2 linked regions of the Danio rerio genome follow. The protein of the gene in region 1 interacts with the protein of each later gene in a biochemical or structural test. Links are inferred from orthologs where the notes say so. Each region holds a gene or a part of one and is shown in the gene's direction. Other genes may lie near its edges. The genes, in order: mcm3l and cdc7.

Region 1 (10,932 bases):
TCCACAGTTAAATTTGTATGCTGTTAGTTTGTGCAAGTATGTCGTCTCACCTTTCATTGCCTGGTCGTCGGTCACTAGGACGGTCCTGTTGACTGCGGGGGTCTCTGTCTCTCTTTTCACCATTTTGTCTTCTCTCTTCACCATTTCTCTCTCTGTGTGTACGCTGGTTTCTGGGTGGCTGGCTCATTGCTTCATGAAAGAAAGATACTTTAGTGTATGTTTGCAGAGGTTTACAAATTTTATAAAAAAAAAAAAAAAAAAAAAAAAGACTTAAGACAACTCCATCGTAAAAATTTAATTTATTAATAACAATACAAACAAACACAGACAGACAGACAGACAGATATATTAGACAGACAGACAGACAGATAGATAGATAGATAGATAGATAGATAGATAGATAGATAGATAGATAGATAGATAGATAGATAGATAGATAGATAGATAGATAGATAGATAACATGTTAGATAGATAGATAGATAGATAGATAGATAGATAGATAGATAGATAGATAGATAGATAGATAGATAGATAGATAGATAGATAGATAGTTAGATAGATAGATAGATAGATAGATAGATAGATAGATAGATAGATAGATAGTTTGTTTGTTTGTATAGCCTATAAATTTGATTGTGTACAAACCATTGGATATACTTATATACACAGTAAAATATCCACATTATTATTGATTGCAATAAGTTAACGTAACTGTCTTAAAATACGAAAACAATTTCCAAACCGCAACCGTTAATTGTTTTAGTTTACGTACTGTAACCTGTGGTTGAGTATCGGTGAATGAGTTTCACTCACTCTTGTATCTCGTTTCAGCTGACTTCAGTAAAAACAACAACAATAAACTCGTTTTATTAGAAGTAAATGACCAAATAATGTTTCTAAACGACAACAACGTCAAAAAAACAGACAACTTACTTGTTTATAAAGGTCGCTGATCACATTTGTTTTGGTTTTCCTAATCAAAACTCCACTTTTTTCCGCCGACATGAGATTTTGACCAACCCTGTCAGTGAAATCTCGCGATGATTACCTGGGGTTTGAAGACAGGTGAAAAATACAAGTATCAGACGCGGCAGTCCCTAAACGAACTGTCAAACTTTGTTATCTGTGTGATCGCCTATTCACAGTTTGAACGACCCAATACGCGATAACAGAAGCAAAGGTCAGGACAGACTGAGAGCACGGACTGTCTCCTCAACAAAAGTGGCTCTGTCTTCGATCAAAACATACGCAAGTGCGAGGGAAGAGCATTGTTTTTGATTCACTCAAACGAATCGATTCTTTTGAACCAGCTCACTAAAGGATTCAATCACTGATTTGTTGACGAGAGAATCAACAGAACCAGACCGTTTTTTATTGAATACAAAATATGTTGAGAACAAAAGTAGCATAAACAGTCAATATACAGTCAGATGAATACTGGAATAGGATAGTATTTAGCACAACAAATATTTTATTTAATTCTAAATGTAAACAAATCTTCTGAAATAAATAATACATCAAGGTAACAAATAAAACTATTAATTATATGATAAAATATAATAATTTTTAATTGTTTGTAAAGAAAAACAAGCATTATAATGTAATACAATTAATTATAATTAAATATATAGATCAGGTCATATCATCATTTGGTCAACCCATGGATTATTTTTGTAAGGTGAAACTGAAATAATAATAATAATAATAATAATAATAATAATAATAATAATAATAATTCAGTAAGTAATGTAAGCTAATTCATATGTTTGTTTCTAAAAAGTTGTCATCAAATTTTATTTTCAAAGTCAAGATAAATATAAATCATGACAGTCCCCATACCAATGTCAACAAAACCAAACTTTTCCAAACTTTCCAAAGTTCCAAACTTTTTTCCACTCAATCTGCTCAAATAAGGAAATATAAAATGGTTTACATTTTGGCAACAATGTGGTTCTGCATAACATTTTTGATGTAAAAGTGATTAAATTTATTGTCTATAATTTTCAAACCATTGGTAGGGGAGTGCGAGGCACAAAGTAACGCGAGGTTAAATGTAACACCGAGATTTAAGGTATACTTGCTCAGGGTTAACCATGGCATGACTGCGAGGTTTTCACCACAGTGTCGGCAGATGTCTTCTTGCCAATTATTGAAAAAGTTTGGCGAAATTTGGATGAGAACACGGAGAAACCATTTTTGCAACCTAAAATAATTTTTTATTATAGTCAATATTTTTTAAATATATTGTTGTGACTACCATCTTCTAGGCTAAAATATGAAACCATTTTGAAAGATGTAAAACACAAAGTGACTGCTAGCCAGTTTTGAAGAAAACACGACACCGCGCGGTTAGTTAGTTAGTGTTACAATTAAGCCACGCACTGTTGGACACCAATCAAACTAACACTATATATATATATATATATATATATATATATATATATATATATATATATATATATATATATATATATATATATATATATATATATATATATATAATTTTGAGTGTAATGTTGAGAACTATTTAAATGAAATGAAATTTTTTTTTTTTTGATAGACAAAAAATATTTTACTGCTAATAATACAAATAAATGCATTGTATAATCCAAATGTGTTTATCCAATAAATAAATAAATATACCGTGCTATTCATTCATTTTCTTGACTGCTTAGTTCCTTTATTAATCCAGGGTCGCCACAGCAGAGTGAACCGCCAACTTATCCAGCAAGTTTTTACGCAGCGGATGCCCTTCCAGCCGCAACCCATCTCTGGAAAACATACTGTGCTGTGTAGAATAAAAAATAAATTGAGCTAGGTACTGAGAAAATATAGCTACTATTTAAAGTAAACTTTAAATTTTTAAATAAACTGTGTGTAATCTGCCTTTTTTTAAGCATGTGTTACAACTAACCCTGTCTGTTACAACTTGAAGTGAGGTAAATAGTAACATTTTTACTCCTGGCACTTTTGGCAACACTGCAAAGAAACAATAGTCCGGCGATTATACAACCAGAGCTCATTTGTAGGAGAGGCTTGTGTTTTGTTGGTAAAAAAACAAATGGTTTGTTTAACCCCAAACCTTTGTTTATTATTTGACCAAAGCCAAAAAGTGTTACTTTGTGCCCCGCTCCCTTACTTAACTGATTAGTATGTAAAATATTGGATTCAGACATTAGATATATTACCAGATAAGAGCTGAACAAGCAGTTTTTCTCCAGCTTGAGGAACTACATATAGAGAGGGGCGTAATCGTTCAGGTCTAACCAATGAAACACGCCTTCACAGCGCGCACTCAAATCCTATTTGCTGAATGGTAAAGTCAGTCACCGAAGAGGAACGCCTTCAGACACTTCAGGAGTTTGTTTGCAGAGAACCGAGCAAAGGAAGATTCGTCCAAAACGTGAATGAATATTTTATAAAACCATATGAGCCGTAGCCTGAGGCTTCGTCCTGGAATGTCGTAACAAACGAAAATGAACTAATTTATGTGCGTATTATGCAACTACAGTATGTGTGAGTGTCAACAGTATCAAGCAGCTCGGAGTAAAATAACTGAAGAGCACTGTAAGAGCTTCAAATACAGTATAAAAGAATGGAATAATTCAAAGGGGGTCTAGCGCATTCATTGTCCTTTTGACTCGAGCATTTTAAGAAGCGTTCAGGAGAATCTATTTTGCTAATAGGGTCCAGCTACCATTACACAAATAAAACATGGTTACTTGTAAAAAAAAAAAACAAACAAACATGATAATTACGAATTATTCATGATTTTGCTACACTAACCACAGTTTAACCATTGTATTTACAGTAAAAACGTGATATAGGCTACACATGGTTATCTGTTATATTTTTTACCATAATGAAAGCATGGTTCGAAATAGGGGTAGCTCTATTCAAATCAGTTGGATAATCACATGCTCAAGTTAATGAGCCTAATTAACATAATTGATTGTCAGGCCTGTTGCACCAGCTTGGTTTGGTTGCTTCATGTTTGTGCATTTGATTTTTGTTGAACTGTGAATGTTATTTTAAAATATTGTAATGCACATGCTGATGCGCGTGTAGGAGAAATGGATACTGGGTTAGAGGACCTCGAGCTGAGAGAGTCACAGAGGGAATATCTGGACTTTCTGGATGATGATGTGAATAATTTGAATAATCTTTATGTGTTTGACTTGTGGGCATTTTGAACTGTATAAACTTTGTTTTTTGTCTGTCAAACTAAATCTTTTTTTATTGTAATTTACAGCAAGATCAGGGCATCTACCATGAAAAGGTCAGGAGTATGGTGTCTGATGGACAGTGTCGTCTCATTGTCAACATTAATGATCTGAGAAGAAAAAGTGAAAAAAGAGCTAAAGAGTAAGTGATTAATTTGATTAAAAGTTGTCTATTTTGTTTCATATTTTGCTTTTTTGACAATTTTAGATTTTTTCTTTAACGTTGTTTGCTCTTCGGGATTTGGTCAGTAACAAACATGTGGCCAGATACATGTGAAACTCTGGTGTAAACAGCATGGTTGATGTACTATATGTTGCTCTGCTGTCTAAAATATACAAAAAAAAAAAAAAAAAACATGGAAGCTGCTAAATCACTTACTAAAGCAGAATATGGTGTAGCATTTTGATTTAACATGTGGTAAAGGATACATTTGACCAGATTAGCCTAATGTTACACTCGCTTGAGCATAAATTATAAGAACAAACATGAACGTTATCAAGATTCTTGCCATGGAAATCGTGAATTAGTTTGGTCAACCACAAACACTTTTTGTTCTTCAGACAGCTTTTTTTTCTCTCTTCTGCTTGACTTTACATGGCTTTCAGTATTCTAATACAATCTAATAGCAAAGCCCAAAACAATTGATCATTTTCAGCAGTAGTAAGCAAATAATATGATTCTCAGTCAGTTCAGTCACATTGTTTACGTTCTGTGTTTCCAATATGGCTGACTGATGATGTGTGATGAAAATTCTCTGTAGAGGAGAGTGGGGACAGTTGCAACACTTTTTGCAATTCTTTCAGTTTCTCGAAGACAATTTTATTTTTTTTTTGTGGAACCCCAAAATTTTAAAACAATAAACTCACTTCTGTTGGACAGGCACCCATATTGCTATAATATGTGTAGATATGTTAATAAATTCTTCATTTATTACTTAAAGAAAGGGACAATTGCAACATTCATTCAAATTATAATTTAAAAAAAATCTAAAACCTCGAGTTGGATTTTATTTTTTGGTAAACCCACTAAATGAAAATTGGTTAAATTATTAAATGTGTTGGCCATATAAATACAAAACCTTAAAAAAAAAAAAAAAAAAAAACGAGCAACATCCAATTATAAGGCCTAAAAAAACTGAACTTTTTTTTTTTTTTTTTTTTTTACTGAAAGATTGAACCTTTACCAAACTACTACTAAGAATGTTGACATGAATTAATTAATCAAATATTTTTTTCAAATTATATTAAAACTGTGATCAATAAAATTGTACATTTGTTAATATGGCAAGCTTTCAAATGAATTTTATAACAATTGGGGACAGTTACAGAAGCATGTTCAGCAACTCTGTCAACCTTGATTAAACATTCCATGCTAGAGAGATACAATAGCTTGTTACAAACGCTTGATAGCTATACCTATTTAAAGCTATGAAAACAGTGATTTAAATTATACAAATGAATAATGTTTCACAAAAACAGATTGGGCTGTATGAGAAATTTTCTGATCATTACAAAAAACTATTTTTTTTTTTTTTTTTTTTTTTTAAATACCTAAAATGAGTTTTAGACTGAAGAAATGGTCACATATGGCTGATTTCTCTTGGATGGAAGAAGGATCCAACTGACAATATGTAGTATGAATATCATCCCTCCATAGCTCATTCCTTAATGGAGAAATAAGTCTTGTTGTAACTGCCCCATGTTGCCCCCATTCTCCCATACACTGTAAAAAATGCTGGATTTCACACAATCAATTTGTGTTAAAACATCTCGAAGAAAATAAGTTAACCTATTAGTTTTTACAAATGGATATTGATTTAACATAAAACTGTTAGGTTTCCCCCAAAAAAGCTTGAATTGTGTTGTTTCAGCTTATTTTAAATAAGTAGTGGAAGCGGCAAATGTAATTTTGAGTGTATATCCTTGAATCTTTATTGATCTGATTAAGTGTCTCTTTTTAATAGATTACTGAAGAATGCTTTCGCTGAGCTGGTGGCGTTTCAGAAAGCCCTGAAGGATCTCGTGGCTTCAATAGATGCCACTTATGCTAAGCAGTTTGAGGAGTTTCATGTTGGTTTCGAGGGCAGTTTTGGGAACAAACATGTGTCTCCTCGTACTCTGAGTGCTCGCTTTCTGGGAAACCTTGTGTGTGTGGAAGGCATCGTGACCAAGTGTGAGTAAGATTTACTTTACTTATTACTTATTAAAGCAATTGTTTCGTCCAAAACAGAAAATGTTGTTCTCTTTTACTCATCCTTCACTTGTTCCAAACTTGATTGACCATCTGATTTTAGATGAACACAAAAAAACCCATCTAAATTGTACAACTTTTATCAAAAGGAAACCTTAATAAACTGTTTTAGATTTTTATCTTATATATTATCATTATTGTTATTTATTTATTTTACCGTGGACATTATTTATTGCTGTTGATTACTTTTAATTGTTAGAATATATTTATAATTATAAAAAAATTGGTATTTATAAAATGTGATAAACTTGATGTATTGTATTTTTGCCATGACATAGCCATAGAAGCTGAAATGGCAATAAAATTAAATCTCTCTCTCTCTCTCTCTCTCTCTCTCTCTCTCTCTCTCTCTCTCTCTCTCTCTCTCAACACAAAAGAAGATATTTCTTAGCTGTGACATCCTTATATTTATTTTTCCTAGTATGGAAGTCAATGGTTACATGCTTGCAGCTTCTTTTTTTAAATATTGTTTTGAACACAAAAGATGATAACAAACTCGTACATTGAAAAAGGTGTTGCATGCAGAACTGTTGCAAACAATTTGTTTGTGTTGATTTTAAACACATAAATTAAATTGAATCATGTTAAACTTAATTTGTTTGTTTAAATTCAACACAATTAAATTGTTTACGACCACTTAACGTAAGAAAATTTAGTAAATCCAAGGAATCATCTTTGAATTTTTTTTTTCAGTGTAGGTTTGGAAGCATGTGAGGGTGAGAAATTGAGTAAATACATTTTTTGGGTGAAACATTCCTGTAAGCGCTCATTTAACTGCCTATACTTGATGTTTGTCATTTCACATAGATAAAGTAATGTTCAGAATGTTACACGCTGATTTCTAAATTGTTTATCAGAGCTTTGAATATGCACGTTGCATATTATTTCTATATCGGATATAAATGTGTACAAGTGCATGTTTATTCCACTTGGTTGTCTTCATTGTCTTTCCATCTGTAGGTTCTTTGGTGAGGCCTAAGATTATGCGCAGTGTCCACTATTGTCCAGCTACCAAGAAAACCTTGGAACGAAAGTATACAGATCTGACATCATTGGATGCTTTTCCTTCTAGTGCCATCTATCCGACCAAAGTGAGTTACTGTAAATGGCGTTAAATGTTAGAGCAAACGACTCCCATGCGAATGGTCGCCTGTTCGATACCAGCTTGGAGCGGGTTGGGTGGTTTAAGACCAGCGGGGTTACATATAGTAGTATGTTTTTTTTTTTTTTGTTATGTCTGTCTGTCTTTCTCTCTGTCAGTTGAGAATATGTTTAATGGTTACATTTGATAATTAAATGTAATATTTACAGGCACAAATATTAACATCTTTATTTGTTCTTTGTTTACATATTTAAATGAATAAACTTCAAATTTTAAGAGTTTAAACCATAAATTTGATATTTAAATAATTTATTTAAAATTGTTTAAAGTTAATACATGCATACACTTGTTTAGTGAATATTTAAAATGATAATTTATTAAGCTTGTATTATGATGCCTATTTCAAGACACTTACTGAAATGTTTAAAGTTTTTACATTTAAGTTCATTTAAATTTGTTGAATACATAATGAAATAATTTAAATTAAGTTTAATAAAAGGAATATTTCAGTAAATAATAATATATTAATTATTAATTTTTCCATATACTTATGAAGAAACATAATGCATTTTGTAAATATTTACCTATATTTAAATTCAGTTCAAGTCAATTTCATTCAAAGCTAATTTTTTTTATTTAAATGTGAATAATAAATGTAATTACTAACTCCATTTTTTAAATAAGTAGATTGTTTTGTTGTTGTTTTTTTGTTTTATAGTCAAATAGTTTACATTTTAAATATGTGTTAAATATTTAGTTAAATTTTAATTTAATTATTTGTATCAAATAATCAAACGCCTCTAGTGGACTTTAAAAAACTTTTTTTTTTTTTTTTAACTATTTTGTCTACATTCATGCACATCACATTAGCATCTGTTTTTCTTGTTACCTCAAACATGGATGATGGTCTCTCTGTACATCCTGTCAATGTTTTTACTGTACTTTACTGTACATAGGATGAAGAAAACAATCCTCTGGAGACAGAGTTTGGCCTTTGCTGCTATAAAGACCACCAGACACTGACCATTCAGGAGATGCCAGAGAAAGCCCCCGCTGGACAACTGCCACGCTCTGTCGACATCATTGCCAATGATGACCTCGTGGATCGGGTCAAGCCAGGTGACCGCGTGCAGATCGTAGGTGTTTACCGCTGCCTGCCCGCAAAACAGGGCGGTTTCACCTCAGGGACCTTCAGGTTTGTTTGTTCAGAGTCCTACAGTTATCAATATTGAATCCCCTCAGAATAACATCTTGACTCTCTGCAGAACAATCTTATTGGCTAACAATGTGAAGCTTATGAGTAAGGAGATCGTACCCACCTTCTCTGGTGATGATGTCGCCAAGATCAAGAAGTTTTGTAAAGCGCATTCGAAAGTAAGATGACTTTAAAAGGGTCGTGGTGTGAAAAATCTATTTTCCTAGGTTTATTAAAAATTGCTGAAAAATGAATATCGTTATAAACTTTCTTCAAGCTGTAAGAATGAATTTAGGAACACAATGGTATATGATGTCACAGTACGTTCATTTGCATACTGCCTCCAGCATACAAGCTCCACCCAATTCCGCCTAAGTAAAAGACCCGTGCCTCAAAATCAGAGCTTTTCACAAAAATTGAACATGGATTTTCTGCATATACATGTCATTTATTGTTAAAAATAGCATTATTGAAACCAAATTAACAAGTATTAAAACAACTTGACAAACAAAACAAACAAAAAAAAAACTCATGCCATGACCCCTTTTACTGATCTGTTTCATATTTTTTTTTAAACAATTGACCAACTCTACCTTTAAAAAAAAATTTCTTACTTTCTTTCTTTCTTTCTTTCTTTCTTTATTTCTTTCTTTCTTTCTTAAAAAAAGCCTTTCAATTCCTTTTAAAACTCAGTCCTGATGGGTGTCATCCTTGCTACGGTGTTTGTGCATTTCAGGATGTTTTCGAGCAGTTGAGTCGGTCTTTGGCCCCCAGCATTCATGGCCACGAGTACATAAAGAAGGCCATTCTCTGTCTGCTGCTAGGAGGCAATGAGACCAACCTGGAGAATGGGACGCGCATCAGAGGAGACATCAACATTCTGCTCATAGGTCTGCATATGGTTTAATTTTAGAGTATTTAAATCATTTAAAATATCCTTATTAGTTTTTATATGTTTGTAAATTTGTTCTGATTTCTTTATAACTGTTTACTCATTTGAAATTAATCTAATTATTGTAAGACATAGAGAAGTTATCTCTGTGGTTATTTGTATAAAAATAATGAATTTGATGTACATCTAAACTTATAGATGTATTTCTATAAAATATTGTACAGAAATTATGTATTACTGTTCAAATTTCATTTATATTTGTAAATTGACCTTTATAAATTAAACATTTATGAATAAAAATATTTAGTATTTTAGTTTTTAGCTATTTAAATATAAATTATAGATTTTATATAATTAGAAATTTTAGTAGTTGCAAAGTGCACTAGTTTCGGTTTTGTATTTTTTTAGGTGATCCTTCTGTCGCAAAGTCTCAGTTGCTGCGGTATGTTTTGTTCACGGCACCAAGAGCAATTCCCACCACTGGACGGGGCTCATCTGGGGTGGGTTTGACAGCGGCGGTCACGACTGATCAGGAGACAGGTAACACTTAATTTTTAGTTGTTGTCATGTTCATCTTATTTTTTTTCTACCCTTAATTTCCTTCTGTAAAGGTATCAAATTAATTTCTTCTTTCACCTTTTTGAGCTTTTTTGTTTTTCAGTTTTTTTTTTAAACCCTCTGATACCAGATTTTCAAATAAATGTTTCCTAATAAACCACAAATCAATGAAAAGCTTTTATTTATTTTGGCTTTCAGATTATGTATGAATCTCGATTTACAAAAATAACAGTTATGACTGGTTTTCTGGTCCAGGGACACATACTGTACATAGCCCGGCTGTTAACTAACCCTTAAGCCCAACCTGCTCTGGTTAGACTCATTTTTACAAGTCATACACTCGAAATACGAAATAAAGGTACAAGATATTATATTTATTTATTTATTTATTTATTTATTTTTGAGTTAAAATCCAATTCAATGGTCTATGCGAGGCTAAAAGGTAACAAAACTGACTAAATGAATTCAAAAATAATAAAGCTCAGCTGTTTAACTCTACACTCTCAGAAATAAAGGTACAAGAGCTGTCACTGGGAAAGTACCTTTACAAAAGATACATATTTGTACCTGAAAAGTCCATATTAGTACTTCAAAGGTACATTTTAGGTGCATTTGGGTACTGATATGTATCTTTGAGGTACCACAAAGGCTGCTTTAGGTACAAATATGTAAAGGTACTTTCCCAATGATAGCTCTTGTACCTTTATTTC
Region 2 (10,280 bases), on another chromosome or scaffold:
ATTTTAAAATATAGTCGTGTTTGTTTAACTAATATTGGGTGAAGTTTTTAGTGTTCAATATCAAAATAAGATCGTGACTTAACTATTGAACTGTGCGCGGTAAGTTTAGTGTTTACGTCAGTTCAGCTGTTTATCCGCCGAGACAGTGTTTCTCATAAACAATAACAGACTTGGAGAAAACATAAACAATAAAAGGTAAAGTTTTACAACTTATTTTCCGCGATACATTTCGACGCTTTGTTTGTTTGCTTGCTTGCTTTTTTTGTTTCCTTACTGTCTCGTATTGTTCTCGTCTTATTTGATGCAGTTAGCGTCTAAATAGTATTATACTTTACCAGCCAAGCTGATTATGAATATTAATATCTAATTACATCCAACAGTTTTCCCACGACAGATTATTAAATCTGTTCGTAATCGTCGGGTTTAATGGAAGAAGCAAATACTGTCCAGAGAAGCTCCCATCGCAGTGTTGAAAAGGGCAGAAGTCGACACAAAATTTCCAGTGAGTGTTAAATAATTTACAGTATGAGCTGTAAAGACTTTTTGAATATTTCATTAAAAAATGAATATTTATACAATTCACTGAAATGCAAATTATCTTTACAAATACACAAATCAAGTATATTAAGTACACCACAAAAACATAATATCAAAGTTTAACTTTTTTTTTACCACAAATGTTTGCCAGTACATTCAGCAACACACTTTATCATATTTTAGAGACATTAGGGTGTTCTGAAGAACATAAAATGTATCAAATTACATTTATTATGCAGTTAACTTTTAACTATAAGTACTTTTTAACTATAGTACATTTAACATAATAAAATATAACAGCATTTAATTAACTGTTATAAACAATTGATGTAGGTCACAGTACATTCTTTTTGTTACTATGTTTTTTTAAGTACGTTTTGTTTTTGTTTATCTCATTACTATTTTTATTTATTCTTAAGTTTCTTTACAAAGGAATTGTTAACTGTATTTAATTGTTAGTATGTTGAAATAATTAACTCTGTGTTTTATCTCTCTTTAGGAGATGTTGAGACGGAAATTGCATATCTGTATGAAGTTCTGCCACAGCTTTCTCGAATATTTCGCATCATAGATAAGATTGGAGAAGGTTTGCTATTATTATTATTGTTATTACTTTTTGTTTTTGCTACGAAATTTATTTATTTATTTTTTGCTAAAAAAATACATTAAAAGACTTTTTTTTGTGCTGAAACCATGGTTTCTGATGATTTATAAAATGCAAGTAAACTACTTCTCGCACTGTCAATAAAAACAAATTCGGACAAAATTTATACAAATGCCCATATGTCAGCATAGTGGCAGATTTAAAAAAATTAAGACTAACTTATACTACTGAGGGAGATATCGTCACTAGTGGGTGAGGCGTCCCCTTCAGATGAAACATACAAAGGGAGAATGTCAATCAAAGTGTTTCTGCTGACTGTATTTATGAAGTGTGATTATAAAATATAAAATTAATATATGTTCGCCATTAGAAGCTGGTTATATTGTTCGACTGTTGCCATATAACTTTGTTTAAATCAATTTTAAAGGGATTTTTGCATATTAGGTTCCCTTTAATGATCTTTTGCATCACTGTATCAACACAGGTACTTTTAGTTCGGTATATTTGGCTGAGGCACAGATGACGGACAGTTCAAGGAGGTTGTTTGCATTGAAACATCTGATCCCTACCAGTCATCCTGTGCGCATCGCTGCTGAGCTCCAGTGCCTGACTGTTGCTGGGTGAGTGATGATGAAAATGTCTAATTTTGACCTTTGTTTTATGTTATTTCGGCTAAATAATTGAAAATATTTCTGAATGAACAAATGTAGGTTTCAGAGTTTTGTTAGAGTGTTTGTCCATTATATCTCATTCCACAGAGGGACAGAAAATGTGATGGGAGTCACATACTGCTTCAGGAAGGAGCATCACGTGGTCATAGTCATGCCATACATGGAGCATCAGACCTTTGTGGTGAGTGTTTGCACTGTGTGTGTGCGCGCTTTTAGGCTAAATGATTTAATAGCATGATGCTACTCAAAAATGTTTCTTCTTTTTGTAGGATATTGTTGGCTTGTTAAGTTTTGAGGATGTGAGGCATTACATCTATCATCTGCTCAAAGCCTTGAAGCACATTCACAAGTTTGGCATCATCCACAGAGACATCAAACCAACCAATTTCCTGTTCAATCGACAGAAGAGGGAGTATGTACCTGATATTCATGTCGTTGTGGTTCTAGTCTAACCTCTGCCTGATACACATGTACACTATTCTAAATATGAATTGCTTCATCAAATTCAAATATCAACTTAATCAAAAAACAATCTTTTTCTAGCTTTTTTAAAAAGTGTAAATGATAACAATTGATCATTCAGTTATTGGGGTATATGCACACAGACATGAGATATAATATAAAGTGGGTAATCAGACCAAACAAGAAGCACTGCATTAAAGCATTTTTTTCAGCGTCATGTGTTAAAAAAAATGGAAATGAATTTTTCTCCAGTATTTTCAATGGAATTTCTTTGCTGGCCTGCGGCTAATAACGGTGCCTGCGCTTAAACGTTTTTTCGTCTTTTTTTTTTTTTTACACTTTAACAACCAAATGGATGCTTAAGTCTATTTAATAAATTATATTTTAATTACATTACAACATTGATGCTGTAAAAGGAACCATATGAAATTAAAAATAGTCACATTAAGCTTTCAGCAGAAGTTTTTGCTCAAAAACACTAGCTGTGCATATACCCTAATGAGTCTTATGGTGTGTTCACACTTGATAGGTTTGATTTGATTAAGTTGAACACTGTAGTTATTGCTCTGTTTGTGTGGGTGATTTGAATAAGTGTGAACACTCTATTTGAACACTGGTGCCCACCGAAAACACAGACCAAGACCCTTGAAATTAAGGTTTTGATCCACTTCCACACATAGTCTAGTGTGGTTCTTTTACAATATGAATGCAGAAATCATGACTATTCTTAATATGAATTTCTTCATTAAATTCAAATATCAATATAATTAAACGACAATTCTTTTTTTATTAGGGAAATTAACAAATCATTTTTTGGGCAGTTATTATCATCAAAAAGATTTGTTGTTCTCAAAGGTGCCAGAGATCATCTTAAAACATTTACAATTTCGTTAAATTTATCCATCAAATCATTCGTTTTTGGAGGTCTAAAGTCTTGGTTCCCATTCTACAAATTAAAGGGTAAAGTCTCCAAAAAAATTTAATTCTGTTATTTATTACTCACCTTTTTTTCGTTCCAATCCTGTAAGACCTTCAAAAGATATTTTACATAAAATCTGAAGCTATAGATAGCAATGGTCGCTAACATTCAAAGTTCAGAAAAGGAACCAAAAACATTGTCAAAACATCCAAGAGCTAAAATAACAGAGCTCTAGGACAACTTTTGTGCGCCAACATTTTTTTTTGTCCTCTACACCAGTGGCACCCAATTCCTGTCCTCAAACATCCACCCTCCACATTTTGTATGTTTTGGTTACTTGACACACAAGGATCTCTCTGTTAATGAGTTGATGATCTGAATCAAGTGAGTTAAGATATACACTTTGCACTTATACACTATGTACTTATGCACTAACACACTCAACAGCGTAGTATATGAATGTAGTGTCGCCCAAAATAGAACACAATTTTTTTTTTTTACTTTCAGTTTCCCAGATTATGTTTGACGGTTGCCTAATTTAGTGAAACAAATTAGTGGTTTGCATTCCCGACCAGTTTTCTGCGGCGCGGCATGCCTATGTGGGTGTCACTTGCTTGGTGTTTAAGTGTGTGTGTGTTATACAGACAGCTTGTTATAGGCTGTCTGGACTCTGTATAGCTGGGTGGTTTTTCGGTTTTGTTCTCCCCCTGCTCGTTAGCGGGAACTGGTGCGGCGGGTAGACAACGGGACGGGCAGCAGTACAACAAATGCTGAACATAAGCTGGAGCGGTCGGGTTTGGGCTAAAACCAGGCAGGAGCGGGATTCAAAATTTAGTCCCGTGCTAAAACAATTGACCAAACCCTCACATGATACCTTCCATGATTTTATTTGCAACTACCATTGGGAGGTGGTATAATAACTCTAGTGGGAGAATTTAGCTTTTAATCCAAAATAAAGTAATCCAACATCTAATTGAGTAATGAGTGTGTGAAGTGTCCAACATAACGCTTCTTTTTAACGGTTAATTAAGTGCATCATCCGGGTACTTAAAGTGCAGTTATTATTTTTAGAGTTTTCAGTGTGAACGCACTACTTGCACAATTTATACTACAAAAAGGCGTAGAATAGTGCATAAGTATGCGATTTGGGACGCACCTATCAGGGCTCGAAATTTTGACCATTTGTCACGTATGCGCCCAAATTTATCTATGCGACCTCAAAATACATTTGGGAGCATTTGTGCGAGTGCATAAAATTGATGTCGTGCAAACAGTTTTCACAGCAAAATGTTCACCACTTGCACGGATTTTGGAGGCATTCACACATTAAGCATCGTTGCACCTAAAAATACCAATCGCAGCGCTCAGGAATGGTTTAAAACAGTTGACATGACAACGTGCTGCAGTAAACAAAGCCCGCAGTGCTTGGCCCCCCTTCAAGCTCTTCTTATTGACCCACTGCGCTAGAACAGAACGCAAATGGATTAGTAAATATCAGCTGTCAATCACTCAGTTTCGATGACAGGGAGCCACAGCCGTGAAAATGTAAAGGGCTGGATACGAGAGAATGAAAACAACGCTGAAAGATTTAGCTTTAGAAACCACCTAAAGTTACAAATAATGGCACATCTGATTAGTGATCATGTGCTGAATGTCAATCCAGCATTTACACTTTTCAAAGAGTGGGTCAAAGACTTCCAGTGTTTAAAGTCTGCAATGAAAATGACTAAAGCATTCACTGTTAAGCCCGTGGGATGGAGTTTTCAGTTAACAGTGTTTGCTACTGAATCTTCAAATTTTAAGCACGAGATGTTCTAACGTTATTAAATCCTACATTTTAATCGTCAAGATTGTGCGACTGATATCGCGTTCACCATCGGTAAAGAGCATGCATTCACCTAGATGGAACTAATATTGCAGCTCATGAAAAGACTGTTACTGTTATTAAGATGATGTATGCAAATAATAAGTTAAATGTCGATATCATCTGTGCAATATCAGACAGCACCCTTGAGAACAGCAGTTATTGTTAACTGAGTTCATCTCATTCACATCAAGCAGTGCGTGCAGGGCTGGTGAGCACATGCAGATTTTTGTTTATTTGTTAGTTGTGATTAGAGTGTTAATATATAATAGAATCTGTTAATACAAACCGTGTAGTAATGGTGCTCATAATTTTTAGTGGGTGCGACTAAATTTTGTCTGGTGCGCCTACATTTTTGAAGTTGGGAGCATCGGTGCTACCTAAACAAACGGTTAATTTAGAGCACTGCCTATACAAAATGTGCAGGGCGGGTGGTCCCAAGGACTGGAATTGGGAACGACTGCTGTTCATTAGCTCAAATGACAGAATTTTCACTTTTTTTGAACTAACCCTTTAAGGCTTTAAATAAGAGCAAAATGGTTTTAAATGTTGTTCACACCTAATCCACCTTTAATAACCCGTGCTGAATGTTGAACACTAAACTGACATTGGGTATGTGCGGTACTTTATTGCACATGAACAAATTAAGTCGGAGGCTCTTTGACTGTTATCTTGAAGTCCAAAAATCCTGATACATGCTGATTTCTTTTCTTTTTTTTCCCTCAGGTATGCGCTGGTGGATTTTGGCCTGGCTCAGGGCACTCCTGACACCCAGATCGAACTGCTGAAGGTGGTCAAATCAAAAGGTCATAAAGGTGGTGGGTCATCTAAGATGGTGGAGGAATCACTGGGAAAACAGAAACTGGTGCCTTTACCACCCAACAGCAGAAACCCTGCTGTCCAGTCCAGCACTAAAGCACCGGCTAAAAGACCCTGCCCACCCTCACGCGTTAAACACAGCAAGGTGTCTGCACTTTATTTAATGAATAAATCATATTTTAAGTGATAATCAGTCAAACTGGGGAGCACTGCACTTCCAGGCCTATATTGATTCATTTCGTATTCATGTCAAAAATATGTGTCCTTCCTCTCAAAGGAACTGATGGGACTTGATAAAGCACCACGGTCTGTATTTGGGGAGAAAAGCATAAACAGCACAAACTCTCATAAACCAGGCTCTGACAAAGTTGAGGTTAGCTCTGTCTCTTCTCACACTGGTTGCATGCGATGCCGTCTGAATAACTATCAGCTCTTCACCTGTCACATTGTGTTTTAGGGATTGCTTTCAAAGCCCAAAAAGGAGGAAGTAATTCCACGCAAGATTGTTTCTGCCAAACATCGCTCCGTCCCTGTCAGAGCACCATTAAATCAGAAACAGAAACTTCCGGCTGAGAGTCAGAAACCTAAACCTGCTGCCGTCAACCCCCTACTCACCTGCAACTGCTACATGACTGACCGCGTCTGCAACATCTGCCTGTCCAGGTACACACTCGTCATCTATACATCAATCCAAACCTTAAAAAGCCTACTGTGGCATGTCTACGGTGAAGAAAAAAGAAAGATCAACACTACACAGTCTACTACATGCATCTATACTCTGTTTTAGCCCAATTCTAAAAACACCCACATTTGTCATGAACTGCTATCAGATTTATTGTTAATAGTGAACTAGTGATAGTGACTAGTGATTAGTTACATTTTGAGTGTTTAATAAGCTACATCAGCCTTTTCAGGAATTTTTTTTTTTTTGCATTTCTCAATAAAAACATTCTATTTGATGGTTTTAATTTAATAGTGTGGTTATTTTTTTCACAGGAAACAGCAGGTGGCTCCGAGGGCTGGTACCCCTGGGTTTAGGGCTCCTGAGGTTCTAACCAAGTGTCCCAACCAGGGAACAGGTAAAGCTAACAAAAGCAATGCTATTATTATTATTATTATTTTGGATGTGATTCAGTATTCCAGCTCACTGTATAGAAAATACTATCTCTTTAACAGTTGGTACAGTTCTGTCTTTTTTTAAAACTTGTTCATGGTTTCCGCCACACCAAAATTGATCCCGCCATGGCTACATTACAACTTTTTATTCATATTATTCAGTTCTGTTTTTTTTAATAGCGGGTGATAATCGTACCAAAACGTATTAAAAGGTAAGTGAATTATAACGGGGCAAACTTTTCTGTAACCGTAGTAGTACTGTGCGTTATTTGTTTAACCCTTTAAGGTTATGTGCTGACTGACAGATGCGTGAGGCCAGCAATTACAACGTATACTAGTTTAACTTTACTTCAGGGCGCATTAATACCGCTCTGTAGGTCTATTGGAGACATTCAATAATATTCCTAGCAAATCTAATAAATGTTGGAGACATACTCGTTACATAAACGCACTAAATCGCACCCAGCAGCATTTATTTGAGCGCGCACAAGAAGATCTGCGCTTGAGCAGCGTATATTTAAGGATGTGCAAGAAGTTTTGTGCACTAGCAGAGGAAATCGGCGCGCAAGCAAAGAGTTTCACATGCTCGTAGGCTATTACATAAATCCGATCTCAACTTGTAATACTGCGCTCACGACATTTGTCATTGAAATAACGCAACAGGTAGTTAGCAGATCTGTGTAAAAAAAAAAAAAAAAAAAAGGCCTGCCACCACAGCTGTAAAAAAATCCTAGTGAAAACACTGTTGTGTACTTTATACACGTCCATTTGAAATTTATAATGGTCATTCTACAATTGCAGGTATAATTGACGTTTTCTTACAGTAGTAACCTATAGGTTATATAAACTTGGGAAATAAGTAAAATAAGAAAAAAAGTTTTATACATGTGTGTGTGTGTGTGTGTGTGTGTGTATATGTGAGAAATATCACACTAGTACCAGTGTGCTATGGCTGTATTCACCTTATTCTCCGCCGACGAGTGGGTGCTGCCATTTGAATCTTTTTGGCTCTAGACTTCCGGTCTCATTCACTTCCATTTATTTTTTTAACGTTAAAAACTGCTCGTTATGCTGCTAGATGTTGCAATTAGATTTTTTTTATTATATTATTCTATTTGGTCTGTATAGTCATGCAAATATTTGTTTGTAGAGCAAGTAGTTTGACCATTTTCTGCTGTTTATTATTCCTAGTCATTTCTCCCATAGGCGACTGAATCGGAAGTTCTAAGACAATCGCGATAACAGGCGCACTTCTGCATTTTAGAATAAGGTCAATATCAGCACTGGTGGGAGGCGTGCTTTGTGCCCCACCAGTGCTGATATACAGCCATAGCACACTGCTACTAGTGTGATAATGCGTTTATACAACAGTTTGATGGCACAATCTTGTACATAAAAAAGAAAATCAAACACAGAGAGTCTAAAACCCTATTGTATTAGGAACTACTATCTTCCACCATTTATTTACATCTGCAGCTGACGTCAGAACAGCAGAAGCTGTTCTGAATCCAGCTTCTTATTCGCAGCTTGTTATTGTCTCTCTCTCTCTCTCTCTCTCTCTCTCTCTCTCTCTCTCTCTCTCTCTCTCTCTCTCTCTCTCTCTCTCTCTCTCTCTATATATATATATATATATATATATATATACATTTATAACAATTAATAAAATTTAATATTAAGTAATTAATAATATTTATGCTTGTATACATACAAGTTTAATAAAATATAGAAATAAAACTTATTTGCACTCCAAAATATATGTACAAAAAAGGTGTGGTTCTTCCCAAGGGGTTCAAAAAGAGCATTTATTAATATGGACTTTTTAGATATAAACCAATACTATTTTAATGTACCGACCCAGCTTTGTGTATATTAATAGACATGCACATCATTCAACTGTTTATTTTATAAAAAAATTTTTAGTTAATTTTTTTTTATTTTAAGAAATAATAATGTATGCAGTCATGCACGTTTTGACAGATAATATGATGGTGATTTGATGCTTCGTAAAAGTTGCAGACACCCGAAATCAAAATGCTTGATGCAAAATTAATTTAAATTCTTTACACCAATTGAGAAACTTAAATTCTATTATACTATAATAAAGAAAATTAGCTCTGAGTTAAGAGTATTTAGCAATTTATTTAGTTTTACATTCAAAGTTCAAAACCTACAACCAACAACAAAAGCGTATAGCTATTGCCTATCATATTTATCAAACCATTTATTACGAAGTTTATGCAATTTTTCTCACATGGATAATTGAATATTACTCAGATGATGTCATTATGGTGCTGTGCCATAAGCCAATCGTTGGTCATGATTTTGAGGATCGATAGATCAGTCCATCACAACAAGTGTACCGATCTCCGATCAGTTAATCCAGACATTTTAATGTTTCGTGAAGTTGTTTGAAGAACCAAATCAGCCAGAGATCAGGTATCATGATTAAAAGTGACAAATCATCCAAGATCATTTAAGCGAGGTACGAAGACGGGCCCATGGTCTGTCCCTACGTTCTGGTCAACTTTGTTACATCGTTTATATAAAGCTATGATGACATTCTTTAATTAAAGCACAGATAGACAAAGCATGTGACTTGCTCCAAGTTGGGTCACTGTCTCTGATGATAAACTCTGGAATGCAGGGGTCACCAATCTCGGTCCTGGAGGGCTGGTATCCCTGCAGGGTTTAGCTCCAACTTGCCTCAACAAACCTGCCTGGATGTTTCAAGTATACCTAGCAAGACCTTGATTAGCTTGTTCAGGTGTGTTTGATTTGGGTTGTAGCTGAAATCTGCAGGACACCGGCCCTCCAGTAACAAGTTTGGTGACCACTGCACTAAGGCATGTCATTTTCTCTCAACAATTTAATAAAAAGGTTTAGGACACCAATAGTAGATTAACCCTTGTGTGCTGTTGGGGATGTTTTCATCTGCTCTGGGATGATTTTGTGTCTTAATTTGGCCGCAACTTTCTCTGTATCTCAGCAAATGAAATGATTTTTGGTTAGAAATCTTATTTTGACATATTTTGAAAAAATGCTTTGGGAAATTTCAAAAATTCAACAATACACTTTGAGCAAAATTTCTACAGATTCATTATGATGGTGGCTGTTTTTGCCCCATTGACTTTCATTTTAATGACATTTTTAATTGCACCATATAATCATGCCTTCTTAATCATTGCTGTTTTTTTTTCCCTGTTGGGAAGAGATAAAATGTGTCATTTTTATTGTTGATCATCAGTTGCAGTGCAAAAAAAGCGTAATTTCTGCCTTCTATATGAAATT

Evidence for each region.
Region 2: the proteins of mcm3l (region 1) and cdc7 form a complex in vitro, tested with the Homo sapiens proteins (2 studies listed by BioGRID and IntAct, with this or other methods). The link is inferred for Danio rerio from reciprocal best matches to the Homo sapiens genes MCM3 and CDC7.

What each region holds. Positions count from the first base shown.
Region 1 is NC_133195.1:6,681,025-6,691,956, reverse strand, and holds the start of mcm3l (MCM3 minichromosome maintenance deficient 3 (S. cerevisiae), like), read left to right. Parts: upstream 1-3,955; 5' UTR 3,956-4,074; coding exon 4,075-4,146; intron 4,147-4,253; coding exon 4,254-4,366; intron 4,367-6,188; coding exon 6,189-6,397; intron 6,398-7,435; coding exon 7,436-7,566; intron 7,567-8,533; coding exon 8,534-8,772; intron 8,773-8,842; coding exon 8,843-8,951; intron 8,952-9,508; coding exon 9,509-9,662; intron 9,663-10,072; coding exon 10,073-10,204; intron 10,205-10,932. Other genes in the region: si:ch211-191a24.4 (uncharacterized protein), read right to left, coding at 51-187. UniProt on the Homo sapiens protein: Acts as a component of the MCM2-7 complex (MCM complex) which is the replicative helicase essential for 'once per cell cycle' DNA replication initiation and elongation in eukaryotic cells.
Region 2 is NC_133177.1:11,292,546-11,302,825, reverse strand, and holds part of cdc7 (cell division cycle 7-related protein kinase), read left to right. Parts: 5' UTR 1-195; intron 196-380; 5' UTR 381-426; coding exon 427-502; intron 503-1,036; coding exon 1,037-1,123; intron 1,124-1,625; coding exon 1,626-1,761; intron 1,762-1,899; coding exon 1,900-1,993; intron 1,994-2,081; coding exon 2,082-2,224; intron 2,225-5,783; coding exon 5,784-6,021; intron 6,022-6,153; coding exon 6,154-6,249; intron 6,250-6,333; coding exon 6,334-6,539; intron 6,540-6,872; coding exon 6,873-6,955; intron 6,956-10,280. UniProt on the Homo sapiens protein: Kinase involved in initiation of DNA replication. Phosphorylates critical substrates that regulate the G1/S phase transition and initiation of DNA replication, such as MCM proteins and CLASPIN.